Linked DNA regions of Sus scrofa. The protein of the gene in region 2 binds, or shares a complex with, the protein of the main gene of each other region. Links are inferred from orthologs where the notes say so. Each region holds a gene or a part of one and is shown on either strand. Other genes may lie near its edges.

Region 1 (7,900 bases), on a different chromosome or scaffold from region 2:
CCTTCCAATTCTTTAAGAACACTCACCTCACATTGTTTTTTATTATATATTTTTTTTTTTTTTTGTATTTTTGCTCCGGAGGCATATGGAGGTTCCCAGGCTAGAAGTCTAATTGGAGCTGTAGCTGCCAGCCTACATCACAGCCACAGCAACGCTAGATCTGAGCCACGTCTGTGACCTACACCACAGCTCACGGCAACGCTGGATCCTTAACTCACTGAACAAGACCAGGGATCAAACCTACAACCTCGTGGTTCCTAGTCAGATTCGTTAACCACTGGGCCACGATGGCAGCTCCCAAGAATGAATACTTTATAGGCAACCGGTGTGTTTACTTTATCACCTTCGTATCCATCCCACATGTAACTCACCTCACATTCAATTCCTTCTTTAGATAGCACTGTGGCAGCTTCTAAGCAGTGGCCCACAGGTCTTGAATGGGAAACTATCGTTATGTGTGTCCCTGAAACAAAGCAGTTACAGATGAAAAGTCAGGTTGAAACTAAAGACACAGTCCTGCTTTGTAGCCAGCTATGGCTATTGTTCATTTATAAGATATTAAACTCCACTTTACTCCAGTGAGATAAGGAATGTTGCAGCCTTAGAAATGAAATACAAATCCACTGGACTGAGATCTAGAAGAGCACAAATGTATTCCCAATCAAGGCATGACACATTCTTAACTTGAACTCATGCTAAAACTTCCCAAAGTAAAAAAGCAGTAACTTTGGACTGAATTTGACCAATATAAATAGAGGAGACAGATAACAAGTAATGTTTAAATGTATACTAAGTTCTTATTCTCACCTTGCCTTTCTATTTTGGCTTTTCCAATAGGAATCAGAAAATCTTTTGACTGAGCTTCTGCAGGAAGTTCAAAAGGAACTCCATACATTAATTCATTCTCCAGCACCACCACTGCAAAATAGAAATATTTAAACAAAACTGCATGACCAAATACAACACTGTCATTCACATTCTGTGAGAAGTTTAAATGTGCCCTGTGCCTATCACCTCCTGGGGATGGTTTAGGTACTGACATCTGCAGACTGGTCAATCCTACCTATGGGGATAAACCAATGTTGTAAGCATGCAGTATATTTCTCCTTTACCTAACTGGCCCCTTGTAAGTCAGAAATAAGAAAAACAACACATTTTCCCCCATCTTTACTTTGCCTGTAAATCATTAACATTTCATATGATACGTCTAAGCCTAAGTAGAAGTTTTCAATGGTGCCTACTATGCAGATATTTCATTTTAGTTCTTTAATGTTCAAAAGTGACCCACGGGTCACTCTACTGACCTGGATTGTTATCCCGAATGGCTGATTTAATAAGTCCTTTCGCATCTTCTGAGCTCCAGGGGCTGACCACCTTTAAGCCTGGGCAGTGCCCATACCAGGCAGCAAAGCACTGTGAGTGCTGGGCTGCTACACCTGCTGAGGCACCATTGGGCCCCCTGAAGACTATGGGCACAGACTGAAGGCCCCCCGACATGTAATAGGTCTTGGCAGCTGAGTTTATAACCTGGTCAATGGCTTGCATAGAGAAATTGAAGGTCATAAATTCGCAAATGGGCCTCAACCCAGCCTGTCAAATCAAAAACATGATTGTTAAAAAGACAAGAAACAAGAGTAGCAACCACTTTATTCCTCCAACATTCAAATAATGTTTTTAAAAGGTCACGTTAAAAGAAATCTCTTTGGGAATTCCCATAGTGGCTCAGTGGTTAACGAATCCAACTAGGACGATGAGGTTGCAGGTTCAATCCCTTCCCTTGCTCAGTGGGTTAACGATCCGGCGTTGCCGTGAGCTGTGGTGTAGGTCGCAGACTCGGCTCGGATCCCGCATTGCTGTGGCTCTGGCGTAGGCCGGTGGCTACAGCTCCGATTAGACCCCTAGCCTGGGAACCTCCATATGCTGCAGGAACAGCCCTAGAAATGGCAAAAAGACAAAAAAATAAATAAAAATAAAAAAAGAAATCTCTTTGGATGAGATTCATAAAGAGGACAACATACCATAGCCGCACCTACAGCAATTCCAGCAAAGCCCATCTATAAAGTGAAACACAAACATAAGTAAAAATCCACAAAAATTATTAGAGTGTACACTTTAATAGACATGCCTCCTCAAAGGCCTGCTTCCTGATGAAAGGCTTACCTCAGATATGGGAGTGTCTATGATCCTCTTATCTCCATACTTCTTCCACAGGCCTCGACTAACCTACAATTAAGCAACGACCCCATTACTTTTGAGTGTCCTGGGGGCAAACGGCCACCTCAATTCTGTATAGCTTTCATGTATCTTGGTTACCTTATATGCCCCATCATACTGAGCAACTTCTTCCCCAAGGAGAAATACCTTCTCATCTCTTTCCAGCTCCTCATCCATACCTTGATTTATAGCGTCACGAACTGTTACCTGTCACAGGTATGGGAAAGCAGTCAATGAGCTACAGGATTACTTAGGATACCATTGAGATTCTCTCCCTTTACCTAGGCTGCCCACAGCATACAATATAAAAACTATCACTAGAACAGGCTTCTCTTTAAAAGTTCAAAGAATCCTATCTAAAAAGACAAAAAAAAAGTTCAAAGAATTCTAAAAGTAACATTTCTATCACTCACAGCCAGTCTTTGATAGGATGTGTAAATGAGAAATACATTAAACACTTTTCTTGACATGCACCTAGGCTTAAGAAATCTGCTTGCAGGCAGTGCTTCTTTGCCCGTCTACTTGTACCTCTCACAAGCATCCTATCTTAATAAATCTATTTCTTACCTATAAAAAAAAAAATCTGCTTGTTGGCCAGATAAGCTCATAGATGGATTGATTACTACGTACAAAGTAGACTTACGGCATTCCCATTGTTGTTCAGTGGATTAAGAACCCGACATGGTGTCCATGAGGATATGGGTTCCATCCCTGGCCTTGCTCAGTAGGTTAAGGATCTGGCATTGCAACAAGCTGCAGTGTAGGTCACAGATGCAGCTAGAATCCAGTGCTGCTGTGGCTGTGGCACAGGCCTGCAGCTGCAGCTCTGATTGGACCCCTAGCCTAGGAACTTCCATATGCTGCAGCTGCAGCTATAAAAACAAAGAAAAAAAGTATACTAGGTAGTTTTATTTCCACATGTAGTATATTGTAGAGGCAGAGAACGTCAAGTAAGCTTAAATTATACTACATATTGAGCACTCACTAAGTGCCTGGTACTGCCAAACGTGTTGCCTTCAGCATCTAAGAGTTATTTTATCACACAGGTTGGTAGAATTTTCTAGTAACATAAAAAGGATAGAGAAGGAAATTCCTCAAAAGTTGAACACAGAATTATCATATGATCCAACAATTCCACTTCTAGCTATACTCAAAAGAACTGAAACCAGGGGCTCAGATACTTGCACACCAATGTTCACAGCAGCACTGTTCACAAATCCAACAGGTGGAAACAACCCAAAGGTCCATTAAAGATGAATGGATAAACAAAATGTATATGCCCACAACGGAATATTAACCTTAAAAAGGATGGAAATTCTGACATTCTACAACATGGATGAACCTTAAAAACATGGTGAAATAAACCAGAAAAAGGACAAATAAACCAGATAAAGGACAAATCTTTATTTACCACTTACAGGAGGTAGTGAGAATAGATACTCATATACACAGAAGGTACAAAAGAGGTTACCAGGGGCTAAGAGGAAATAAGGAGTTATTGTTTAATGGGTACAGTTTGTTTGGGATGATAAAATTCTGGTAGTGAACGGACAATATGGTGAATTACTTAGTGCCGCTGAACATACAGTTTAAATGGGAAATTTTGTATTTTACTACAAAAGTACATTTTAAAGGGGGTGAGAGAAGAAGTATGGAGTCTAATTAGATCGGCCATCTGATTTCAATGAGCCTTGCGCGGCTGACATGCCACCCCAGCCTCTGCCCCAGGACGAGGGACCCCTCCCTGTCTGGTTAGCGTCTGGGCCAATTACCTGCAGCGCCGCCGGCGCCGTGCGGTGGAAGCGCCTCCTCAGCAGCAGCCCGGAGACCTTGCGGGGAGAAAAAGGACGCTTAGAGGGGACGCAGGATGGCAGGGATCGCGCAGGATCCTGGGGCCAGTGAGCCGCTGCCTACCTGCTCCAGGGGCCTCCGCACCAGCCCAGCCACTACCGCCATTTTGAATGTGTCCTCTAGTCGCCAAGAAATGACAACACCGCGGGGCTGCAGAAGAGTCAAGCCCGCTCTTCCCCGCCGGTGCCGGCCAATGGCAGGGCACGGCGCCTGCGTGCCCCGCCCCCTATGGCGTCAGGGTCGAGGGGCGGGGCCGAGGAGGCGCGAGGGTGGTCCGTCAGCTTGGCTTGATGCCCACTCGGATCAAGTTTGCTGAAGGTGGGCGGTTCCTGGCACGCACAGTGCACGCCGAGAGCACGTCCCTGCTTGTTGGAGCGCAGTGACCCCAAGTCATACTCAAAGGTCTAACTCGAGGCTGAGGAATGTGTCAGGCCAGGCTTCCGCAGGCACTGAAATCCTTTGGGCACCAAGCCAAACTGGTGACTGGAAATTTACAATCTTACAAGCGAGCCTACTCCTTCTTGGACAGCACCGTCTATTGATTTCTTACAGTGTGAACCAAAGCTTTCACGTGTGCCAGGCGTTGTGTTGTGCTTTATGGCTTATTTCTCACAAGAACCCGCTCAGGTAATTAATAGCATTAGCTCCATTTCGCAGATGGTTAAACTGAAGCAGGGATTGGTTAAATCAGTCAGGGTTTGAATTTAGGACTGCCTGACTCTAAAGGGTAGTCTTTTATTACTGCTTCCTGAAGCAGAAGTTGGGGTCTGCGTTACAACAACCTGCATTTAGAGAGGGTTTTTGTTTTGTTTTGTTTTGGGTTTTTTTGCCATTTCTTGGGCCGCTCCCAGGACATATGGAGGTTCCCAGGCTAGGGGTCCAATCAGAGCTGTAGCCGCCAGCCGACACCAGAGCCACAGCAACACAGGATCCGAGCTGCGTCTGCAACCTACCTACAGCTCCCGGCAACGCCAGACCCTTAACCCACTGAGCAAGGCCAGGGATCGAACCTGCAACATCATGGTTCCTAGTCGGATTCGTTAACCACTGAGCCACGACGGGAACTCCCTAGAGGGTTTTATAGGGTCAAATACCTGATTAGGGAAGCCTTTGGAAGCTTCCTCTCATTGGTCTCTTTTTGACCCTGCATGCAGTGGTGGGGATAGGGGTGGGCGGTGGTCAGATAGGACCTCTGGGGACTCTGTCAGTCCTTACTCATGCCCAGGACATTCCAAAAACTCTTCTGAGGGCTGCAGGCTGCCAGTCTGGGTTTAATCTCAGGGCTCTCAGAAGCCAGCGCAGCAGGGAAGTGACCAGGTGAGGAGGAGTCTGGTTGCTGAGTGAGAAAGAGAGGAGGGGGATTCAAGCAAAAGCAGGGAGACCTGAGAGTCTTTGGCAGAGGGAGCACTGGACTCTGGAGGGTTGAGGTGAAGAGGAGAGAATAGGTTTGAGATCTGTTTAGGACCAGAATCAATAAGGTTGCCTTGAGGCAAGGGGAAAAAATGAGGAAGATTTGGGGAGTTTGTTGCTGTTGAATGGATGGGGGAGGGGAGGAGATGGGGAGCAGGTGGGAGGTAAGAATTCATTCTGAATACGCTGTATTTAGGTTAGTGGGTCAGACCAGGTTGGATATAGGAGCCTGGAGCTAGAGGCTGGAGCTAGGTAGCAGCAGAGATAGAAATTTGGGTGCAGCTGCATACAGATGGGCTTTCATCTCTGGGCCTCTGATTTGTCATCTGTAAAGTGGAGAGATTGTCTCTCAAGTATGCAGTGAGGACCTTCCAAGTCTCCCTCAGCACTGTCCCCTAGTCCCTTCAATCTGTGGACTGCAGTAAAGGTGCACAATGTGAGAGCTGTGAGTTTCAGTTTTATTTGAGGACTTACTGAGGATTGCGCCCCAGGGGACTGCCTCTCAGATGGCTCTGAGGAACTGCTGTGAAGAGGTAAGCACATACCTCATTTGGGAGATGGGTATGCAGTCAAGTACACATTTTGATGGAAGGTGCCTGATAGTCAGGAGACACGTATTTTAGTTAAGGATTTTAGTGCTTGTCTAAGTATGGTAACGTGCAAGAAATTGGGTTCATATCTTTTTGGCCTAAAAATATGTAACTGCCTAAAGGCCTGTTCTGCCAATTTTCTCAGAGCACAGAGTGTCTGATTCCTGATCTCCGTCCTGAAGTCCTTTCAGGGTGTGTTGATGATAAGTGACTCAGTCCTTGTAGAGCCCAATGGCAAGAGACATTCTTTAGTTGGTAAAGACTTGGCGAAAACCCCAGCACTTCCCACTCACAGCAAACCCTGGGAAGCCCCTGTTTTTGAGATATCAGCCCTCGGGGATTCCTGTGTTCTGCTTAGAATGAAAATGTGCATCAGCTCTCCCTCCTCTCCCACCATCCAGCACTGAAAGATTTCAAGGTTAAAATTACAAAGCAACAGGAGTTCCCATCTTGGCCCAGCAGTAACAAACCCAACTAGCATCCATGAGGATGCGATTTCAATCCCTGGTCTCACTCGGTGGGTTAAGGATCCGGCGTTGCTGTGAGTTGTGGTGTGGATTGTAGATGAGGCTCAGATCTGACGTGGCTGTGGCTCTGGCGTAGGCCAGCAGCTGCAGCTCCAATTCAACCCCTAGCCTGGGAACTTCCATATGCTGCAGGTGTGGCCCTAGAAAAAGCAAAAATAAGTAAATAAATAAAGTTACAAAGCAACAGGAGACATAAAGGTAAAGCAACAGTGAATCACCTGAAGAGAAGCCAGACTCTGGCCAGTGGTCTAGACAAAGGGCAGTATTCTTGGGCTATATGTACATAGAGATCCGCAAAAACCGGGAACATACAGTCTGTGCAGCCAGTCTGGCTGGTTCAATCAGGAAGGCAATGGCGAGTCCATAGGACTCAGCTGGTCTCAGATGGCAGTTTCCCTTTGAAATAATGACTGGACATTTCCTACCCATTAGGTATCTTCCTTAGTATATGTGCCTTCCTTTTAAAATTGGCCAGTTTTGAAAAGCTAGGTTTAATTTTATGATTCAGAGGAAAAGACACAAAAGATCAAAAGTGCTGAATTTTAAATCCATAATCTTTTCAAAGCCAATCTACATCCATATGCTCACTAGATGTGAGAGGAAAGGGATTGGCAAGTTCAAGTTGACCCATTAGGCCACTTCTGTCTTGGAATGAAATCTTTTCGAAGTCCTGTTGCAGGAAGGAGCACCTCTTCCAGAGTCCGAGAATGGGGTCTTTGTCTAACACTCGGAAATGAGCTATCCAAGGAGACACACGTGCTGATAAAGCAAAAGACTTAATGGGAAGGGGCATCGGTTGGTGGGTGGGGAGCAGCAGCGTAAGGCAACCCAGGAGAACTGCTCTGCCACTTGGCTCACAGTCTCTGGTTTTATCCGAATGGGGTTAGTTTCCCGGTTGTTTCTGGCCAGTTGTGTTGCTCGGCCCATACTTGGTCTGGCTCAGGGTCTTTGTTGGTGGCTTGGACCTCTCAGCTAAGATGGATTCCAGTGCCAAGGATTCTGGGAGGTTGGTCGTCTCCTCCCTCCTACAGGTCCCTCCCAAATTCTCCAAGTCTTCAGGACAGCACCTTGTTCCTTATCAGGGCCTGGCCAAGGTGGGCACTTTCAGTCAATAACCCTCAAAAACAGTTCCAGGAATATTTGTCCTCAAGTTACTTTAGGTTGTCAGTTGTCAGAAAGTCCTTCATCCAAAGTTTTCAATCTCCATAAGCTACACCAACTTTTTTTTTTCTGGTCATTGCAAGCAAGATTTATTAAAGAAGACTTCACTTTTTAGGTGTAATTTAAACACAGTAAAATGCATGTTCT
Region 2 (7,996 bases):
AAGGCCACTGAGCACTGGGCATCTGCCTTTGTTTGGCCAGGTTGTTTTATTAATGACCTTTGGCTAAGTACTGCACTGGCCGAGGTTCTTTCTGGTTATGTAGTAACACTCGTTGGTGGCCCCCACATAGTAGTTAACTGTACACATAGCAGTCACCCCTTAAATCTACCAAGGACCCAACTGACTCATTCTCTCTCTCTCTCTTTTTTTTTTGTCTTTTTGCCTTTTCTAGGGCCACTCCTGCCACACATGGAGGTTCCCAGGCTAGGGGTCTAATGGGAGCTGTAGCCGAAGGCCTACACCACAGCCACAGCAACCCCAGATCTGAGCCGCGTCTGCGACCTACACCACAGCTCAAGGCAATGCCAGATCCTTAACTCGCTGAGCGAGGCCAGGGATGGAATCCGCAACCGCATGGTTCCTAGTCGGATTCGTTCACCCCTGAGCCACGAAGGGAACTCCCCCAACTGACTCATTCTCCAAGAGCATCTAGAAGACGGAAGTTTCTGAAAGTTGCTTTACTAATGAGAAGAGCGAGGCACCAAGTGGTTCAAAGATTTGCACATGAAGCGAATTCTAGAAGAGGGCTTGTTGTGGGTCAGGTACTGTTCTGCGTACTTGACAAATATTAACCCGTATAAGCTGTATAACAGCCTGATGAGATGAATATTGTGATTCCACTTCTTTTAACGATGTGGCAGGCCAGGCACTGAGAGGTTAGGCAACTTGCCCCAGGTCACACAGCTAGTCAGTGGTCGAGCCAAGAGGATTAGAGACCAGATGGACGGATTCCAGAGTCCAGACACTGTGCTCCCCGTCTACGAGCCGGTTCTTAGGTTTCCCAAGGCTGCTTCTGTTGGGGGATCAGCCACAGTCATTTCAGGCCACGCTCCTCAACCGTGATCTGCATGCTGGAAGAATAAGGCCAAACTTAGAAGAACGTGCGATGTGATGCAATCTGTGGTCTAGTGAAAGCCAGCCCAGGGTGATTGCAACCTCGGGTGGAAGGAAAGCTTTGCCCCCTGCTCTGGTCAGGCCACACAAAATAGGTCAGAAGCAGTAGCGTGGAGTTCCCGTCATGGTGCAGTGGTTAACGAATCCGACTAGGAACCATGAGGTTGCGGATTCCGTCCCTGGCCTCGCTCAGGGAGTTAAGGATCTGGCATTGCCGTGAGCTGTGGTGTAGGTTGCAGACGTGGCTCGGATCCCGCGTTGCTGTGGCTCTGGTGTAGGCTGGTGGCTACAGCTCCGATTCAACCCCTGGCCTGGGAACCTCCATATGCTGCGGGAGCGGCCCAAGAAATAGCAAAAAGACAAAAAAAAAAAAAAAAGATTTAAAAAAAAACAAAAAAAACCAAATATGCTGTCATTATGTCTCCATGACTTATTTTATAAGGATGAAAACATTAATCAACGGTCAACCTAAGAAAGATATGGAAGGAGTTCCCGTCGTGGCGCAGCAGAAACGAATCCGACTAGGAACCATGAGGTTGAGGGTTCAGTTCCTGGCCTCGCTCAGTGGGTTAAAGATCTGGCGTTGCCGTGAGCCGTGGTGTAGGTTGCAGACACAGCTCGGATCCCACGTTGCTCTGGCTGTGGCGTAGGCCAGCAGCTGTAGCTCCGATTCAACCCCTAGCCTGGGAACCTCCATATGCTGCAGGTGTGGCCCTAAAAAGCAATAAATAAATAAATAAAAATAAAGATACGGCAAATTTTTATTTGAGCCAACCTGAGGCTCAAAACCTGGGAGACATCCTCTCAGAGCTGTGAGCACTGTTCTCAAAAGGTAAAGGGAGAGGAAGGCCAGTGCAGTGTGATTTTCGAGAGAGCGGATGTGCAGTCAAGCACCTATCTTGGTATAAGGTTACTGCTATTCACAAGGGGACACATATCTTAGTTAATGGTTTTACTGCTTTTCCAAGTATGGGAAAATGCAAGAAACTGGATTCATCAAATTTTCTCCTGAAAATATCTGTCCGAGGGCTAGTTCTGCCAGTTTTCCCAGAGCACAAAATGCTTCACCCTGATCTTAATCCTGAAATCCTCTTCAGGTGTATTTTAGGTCAGTGACTGCAGTGGCTAATGACTTGATTCTTGTAGAACTGCATGCTGGGCAACATTTTTTGTTTTACAACCCCCCCCCATTTTGATCTTATTTTTGACGAAGATTTGGGAAGCATTTCATGACCCACTTGGCCCACACCACTAGAAATGCTCATTCCCAGGTCAGGGGAGGATTTCCTTGCTAGGACCCTCCATGTGCTCTTATGGGACTAAGCCCTGCTAACAGTAGCCCAAAGCCTCAGGACCACCTGTCATACCAGTCTGTTAGGATCCAGGAAATGGTTCCTTCTTGTTGCTTCTTTCCATATCTAGGGTTACACTATGACCAACATTGATCTGGTAGAATTATATGTATCTTTGGTCCTTCGTTCCAAGTCAGCTAGTCATCTTACTTTTATCAGAGGCTCAGTTGCCCATTTGGTAATGCAAGAAACAGTAGTCTTGTAAAACAGGCAGGATACAAGGAGTATAGCTAGAGACATTAATAAGGTCGTAAGTATTTAAGCGAAGAAATTCCATTCATTGCAGCCCTGTATCTCCCTAGGTCTTGTGACTCAGTCTGTTCTGTACCAGTCGCTATCTTTAAGGGAAATGATACATTGGCATTTGTGCATAAAGTTCACCAAAGATGTCTGCACATACGAGGTGAGTGGAGGGCAATCACGACGATTTACAGGATTGAGCAAGGAATGTTATCTTCAAAGGAGTTACATGGCTGGCTCTAGAAGAAGAAAAATTGAGCTTTATGGCTGAGGAGGTATTTCTGCCATTGGGGAGGTGAGCTTAATGAATAATGTAGATGAACAATGCACACCAGAAAGGGGGGGTGTGTGTGGAGAAGGCCCAAACAGACAGAGAAAACATTTTTGTTTAAATATTTCTTGTCTTGGAGGCCCGGTCATGGCTCAGCAAGAACGAATCCGAGTAGTATCCGTGAGGACACGGGTTTGATCCCAGGCCTCAGTCAGTGGGTTAAGGATTCCGCATTGTCATGAGCTGTAGTGTAGGTTGCAGATGTGGTTTGGGTCCCTTCGCTGTGGCTGTGACGTAGGCCGGCAGCTGCAGCTCCAATTCGACCCCTAGCCTGGGAACCTCCATATGCCACAGGTGTGGACCTAAAAAGACAAAAAAAAAAAGAAAAAGAAAAAATTCTTGCCTTGCTTTAAAATAATAATTTTATTTCATCAGATCCTAGCTCAAGTAGGCAGGGAAGCCTTTTACAACTGTTATGTAACTTCTTAGAGACAAGTTGGCAGCAGAACCATTTATAAAAACCATATGTTCTGTCCTTTGGCCCCATCAGGCTATTAATCTTTATCATCCAGTGTATTGAGCAGAGGCTGCAAAGGTGCAGTACTGGCAAGACTAGTCGCTGGGTAGTATTGCCCTTGAACGATCTCCAGAGGAGCACGGCTCAGCTGTGGCGCCCAATCTAACAGGGTCCATTCCCGAGTGGCCCTGGAGGCGTGGCCTCGCTTTCCCACGCAGGCGTCCTCAGGTCTCCCGCCCCTCACCCGTGTGGTGACGGAGGCAGCCCTCAGCCCAGCTCTCTGGCTCCGACACCCAATGGGCGGCCGTGGGCCTCTCGGGTGGGCGGGGCACGCCCTGAGAGCAATCCTGGTTGGCCCGTGGCCCGGTGCGGCGCATGACGTCTTCCGTCGCGTCGCGTCGCGTCGCGTTCCGTAGCGCCGCCGTTAGGTCTTAGCGTCCTCCCCGGGCGCCTGAAGGAGACTTGGAGACTTCTGGGCCTCGCTGCTTGAGCGGTTGGGAGTCGCCGCTGCTGCCACTGCCCGCACTCCATGAGGAAGATGCTCGCCGCCGTCTCCCGCGTGTTGTCGGGCGTCGCCCAGAAGCCGGTGAGTCGGCCTGAGCGGCCCGTGGCAGGGAAAGAGCGGGACCGAGGCGGGGCCCGACGCCGGAGGACGCCAAAGGGCAGGGCAAGCGGGCTAGGCGGGCGGGTCGGGCCGGGCGCAGCGGTCTTCGGGGAGCCGCAGGCCTTTGTTCTGCTTCCACGTTGTGTGCTGCACTCCTGGCCGCGAGCGGAGCGGCGACTCGGCCAAGCGGCGCCGCCTGTTGGAGGGGGAGCTTTACAAGGTCCACGTGGAGGTCAGCAGTGGTTCCCCGTGCCGGGCTTGTTGATGCGGCCCCAAAATGCCCGCCCCCCGCCCCCCAAAAGAAGCAAAAGTGCCCGTTCCTTTACTGTAGACAGAAAAGGGGGCCTTGGGCTTCCTCGAGTTGGCTGCCTCTTCCTGGCCGGTTCATTAAAATTTTTCCTTAGTTCCTCTTGACCAGGAATCCGGAGACTGACTCCGTTCAGACGCCAGCCTCACTCTTTACTAGCCCTGTGGTCTTGGGCAAGAGTTTTTTGGTTTTGCTTTTTTTCTTAAAACAGCCCGGTGCTCAATTTCCTCATTTCTGAAATGGAGAGTACTTACTCCATGGGGTTGTCGTGAGGCTTAAAGGAGTGACAAGTATGTAAACCTTTCCGGTAGCGCCTGGTACATGGTAGGTGCCGTCAGTATTAAATATTGTTATTATTTGAGTTCCCAATTTGGTATACATTTGTTGAACGCCAGCGCTCGGCTCTGTGGAGTGTTGATGCAGGGTTGGGTTCCAGAGAAACAACACACTTGGTACTCTTTCCTCCCCTCTGCCTCAACGGTGAGCTTTTCCTAGGCAGTCGATTCAAAAGCCGTCAGGCAGAACCCAGAGGGAGGCCCTCCACTTGCACACAGATGCGGAGACACTCTCATTTAGGATAGAAGTAGCTAAAGTGGTGTTTGGGAGGATGGGGTTAGAGGTTAGCGCTATTTATGGCTCCAACTTTTAGACATTCCTAGCCGAAGTTCAGAGCATTTTGACCTCTAAGCACGGGATGGGTGGTAATGTGACTTGGTATCACTGCAGCCAAGTTTTGACTTGCAGTTCTTGCTCCAGTAACTCCCAAGACTGGCAGCTCAGCTTGGTATAGGGCAGAGATCATCGAACGGTTGGAGGAAGTGTACTTCTCTAGGACTGCCATTGATTGACAAACACAGAATGCCATGTGATTAATCTGTATTAGCATTTAGGTTGTGATTGGATCTCCCTGAAAAACAAGCACATTTCACCGTTGTTTTTGGTCTTTTTGCCATTTCTAGGGCCGCTCCTGCGGCATATGGAGGTTCCCAGGCTAGGGGTCGAATCAGAGCCGTAGCCACCTGCCTACTCCAGAGCCACAGGAACTCGGGATCCGAGCGCGTCTGCGACCTACACCACAGCTCACGGCAACACTGGATCCTTAACCCACTGAGCATGGCCAGGGGTTGAACCCGCAACCTCATGGTTCCTAGTCAGATTCGTTAACCACTGAGCCACGACAGGAGCTCTAGTTTTTGTATTTATTTTTTATTTCTATGTACACAAAAGATAAATCCAGCATTTATTGTGCCCTTAATGTGTGCCAGGCACGTGACTATTTAATGTCCAAAACATCAGTTTTTAGTTGAATGTAGGTAATAGAAATATGTTTTCAACATCATACAGGGCCTTAGTTCGGTGTGATTACAGTAGAACTTCGTTTGAATTGATGGCGTTCTACAGACAAGGAAAATTTGTGAGTTTTCAAATTACTATCCCCTGTGTCCCTATGAACAGCGAAAAGTCAATATTTAAAATCAGAGTTTCATTCCCTTAGCTGTCCAAAATACTCCTGCTTGTGGGTTGTTGTCTTCCTGCAATGTGTTGGCATCAAAGGCAGATTGCACTTGGTGTTCCACCTCAGTAAAACTTGGGCCTTCTCAAAAATCATACAATACATCTCAAGTCAAATAGAAACGAGAGTTGGGTAACAGTGATCTGTTAAAAATGGAATATGGGAGTTCCTGTGGCCCAGTGGGTTAAGAACCTGACTAGTATCCATGAGGATGCAGGTTCGATTCCTGGCATTACTCAGTGGGTTAAAGGATCTAGTGTTGCCACAAGCTGTGGTGTAGGTTGCAGATGCGGCTTGGATCTGGTGTTGCTATGGCTGTGGTGTAGGCCGGCAGTTGCAGCCCCACTTCGACCCATAGCCTGGGAACTTCCATATGCTGCAGATGTGGCTCCAAAAGGACCAAAAATGAAATATAACTTTATTTAGTCAAAAATTCTTAAGAGATAAGATTATTATGGCAGAAATGGATTCCTGTGCAGAACAATTTATTTAATTAAAAACATTCTTTACTCTGTCTCTTTCTTCTTGTTTTCTTTTGTTCTACCCAATTATGTTGAGGGTTTCTTGCCCTTTTGGGAGGTTTAATAATTTCTTCTGCCGGTGTTCAGTAGATGTTTGGTGCGAATCATTCTACATGCAGAGGTGTTGTTTTGATGTGTTTGTGGGAGAAGGCGAGCCCAACCTCTTACTCCTCCACCATCCTGATCCTTCCCTAAAAGCATTTTTAATGAGGATGAGAGACTGAAGGAGTTACTGCTCCTTACCTTGAGCTGTCCTTCTTGTTAAGCTATTTTGCATGTTTTTTCTGCTGCCTGCATATGTGTGATTAATTGTACTAAGGCAGAAAGACAAATATTCTGAAGAATTCTGTATTAACCCTGTGTTGGTGGGCTGAAGCCCTATTTAATACTTCCCCTTCCCTGTAACAAAGCAAAACAGCTAATGAGTGTTTCTGTAAGTGGTCGGAAATTGTGAGATGTCTCCAGAGTGCTCAGTGTACTTTGGATTCTTGGGTTCAACATGCTCATTCATCTATCAGGTTTCAGGTGTGTTAACACAAGCTACTTAGTTCAAAGTGTTTTAGATTCATTATAGACTGACAGTTTCTTTCTAAAAAAACCTTTTTTATAGTTGATTTACAGTGTTGTGCCAGTTTCTTCTGTACAGCATAGTGACTCAGTTATACATATTTAATACTTTAAAAAAATAGTCTCGAGCCCTTTGTGGCTCAGCAGTAATGAACCTGACTAGTATCCATGAGAATTCAGGTTCAGTCCTGGTCTCGATCAGTTGTTTGAGGATCCGGCGTTGCTGTGAGCTGGGATGTAGGTTGCAGGTGTGGCTCAGATCCCTCCTTGCTGTGGCTGTGGTGTAGGCCGCCAGCTGTACCTCTGTTTGGACCCCTAGCCTGGGAACTTCCATATGCTGTGGGTGCGGCCCTAAAAAAAAATAAATACTCCTTTCCATCATAGTTTATCCCAGGAGACTGGATATAGTTCCCTGTGCTATACAGTAGGACCTGGTTGTTAATCCTTTCTAAATGTAAAAGTTAGCATCTCCTAGCCCCAAACCCCCACTCCCTCCCCCTTGGCAACAAGTCTTTTCTTTTTTCTCCATGTCTGTGAGTCTGTTTCTGTTCTGTAGATAGGTTCATCTGTGCCATATTTTAGATTCCACACATGTGACATCATATGGTATTTGTCTTTCTCCAACTTCACTTAGTATGATAATCTCTGGTTGCATTCATGTTGTTGTGAATGGCATTATTTTGTTCTTTTTCTGGCTGAGTAGTATTCTGTTGTATATATGTACCACATCTTTTTTATCCTTTAACTCACTGTGTGGGGGTGGTTAGGGATTGAACCTGAGCCTCCACAGCCACTTGAGCTACTGCAGTCAGATTCTTAACCCTCTGTGCCACGGCAGGAACTCACTCAAGCATTTTTCACTTCAGTTTACTCGAGGCTGGCAAGTGGAAGCCTTGGGACACTGTTCCACTCTTTCCTCCTTCCACCTGCCACCCTTCAGCCTATTCAGAACCTTTAGAAGCTGGATGCCAGCACATCCTACAGAAAGTTGAGTCTCTGAAATGAAAGCAGAGAGCTCAGTGTAACTTCAGGTACTTAAGTACCTGTGATGTCATCTTTGAAAGAAGTCAGAATTTTTCAAAGTGCTTATTTCACAGAAGAGTAAATTAACATTTAAAATTTTTATTCCTTATTTTACTGTTTGTATTTC

The links.
Region 1: the proteins of PDHA1 (region 2) and PDHB are in contact, whole or in part, in a crystal structure (PDB 3EXE), measured with the Homo sapiens proteins. The link is inferred for Sus scrofa from reciprocal best matches to the Homo sapiens genes PDHA1 and PDHB. Residues at the interface, in NP_000275.1 of Homo sapiens: Ile87, Arg88, Gly89, Phe90, Glu137, Leu138, Thr139, Gly140, Gly148, Lys149, Gly150, Gly151, Met153, His154, Asn164, Gly165, Ile166, Val167, Gly197, Ala198, Asn200, Gln201, Gln203, Gly228, Met229, Gly230, Thr231, Arg235, Ala236, Asp296; in NP_000916.2 of Homo sapiens: Glu59, Gln62, Tyr63, Ala66, Asp84, Pro86, Ile87, Ser88, Glu89, Met111, Phe115, Gln118, Ala152, Gly153, Val154, Ala155, Ala156, Gln157, His158, Pro297, Val323, Arg324, Val325, Thr326, Gly327, Ala328, Asp329, Val330, Met332, Pro333.

Annotation. Positions count from the first base shown.
Region 1 is NC_010455.5:40,163,275-40,171,174, forward strand, and holds the start of PDHB (pyruvate dehydrogenase E1 component subunit beta, mitochondrial), read right to left. Parts: upstream 4,229-7,900; 5' UTR 4,171-4,228; coding exon 4,129-4,170; intron 4,044-4,128; coding exon 3,987-4,043; intron 2,422-3,986; coding exon 2,314-2,421; intron 2,224-2,313; coding exon 2,161-2,223; intron 2,055-2,160; coding exon 2,019-2,054; intron 1,591-2,018; coding exon 1,305-1,590; intron 919-1,304; coding exon 808-918; intron 464-807; coding exon 372-463; intron 1-371. UniProt on the Homo sapiens protein: The pyruvate dehydrogenase complex catalyzes the overall conversion of pyruvate to acetyl-CoA and CO(2), and thereby links the glycolytic pathway to the tricarboxylic cycle.
Region 2 is NC_010461.5:15,696,343-15,704,338, forward strand, and holds the start of PDHA1 (pyruvate dehydrogenase E1 component subunit alpha, somatic form, mitochondrial), read left to right. Parts: upstream 1-3,581; 5' UTR 3,582-3,863; coding exon 3,864-3,920; intron 3,921-7,996. UniProt on the Homo sapiens protein: The pyruvate dehydrogenase complex catalyzes the overall conversion of pyruvate to acetyl-CoA and CO(2), and thereby links the glycolytic pathway to the tricarboxylic cycle.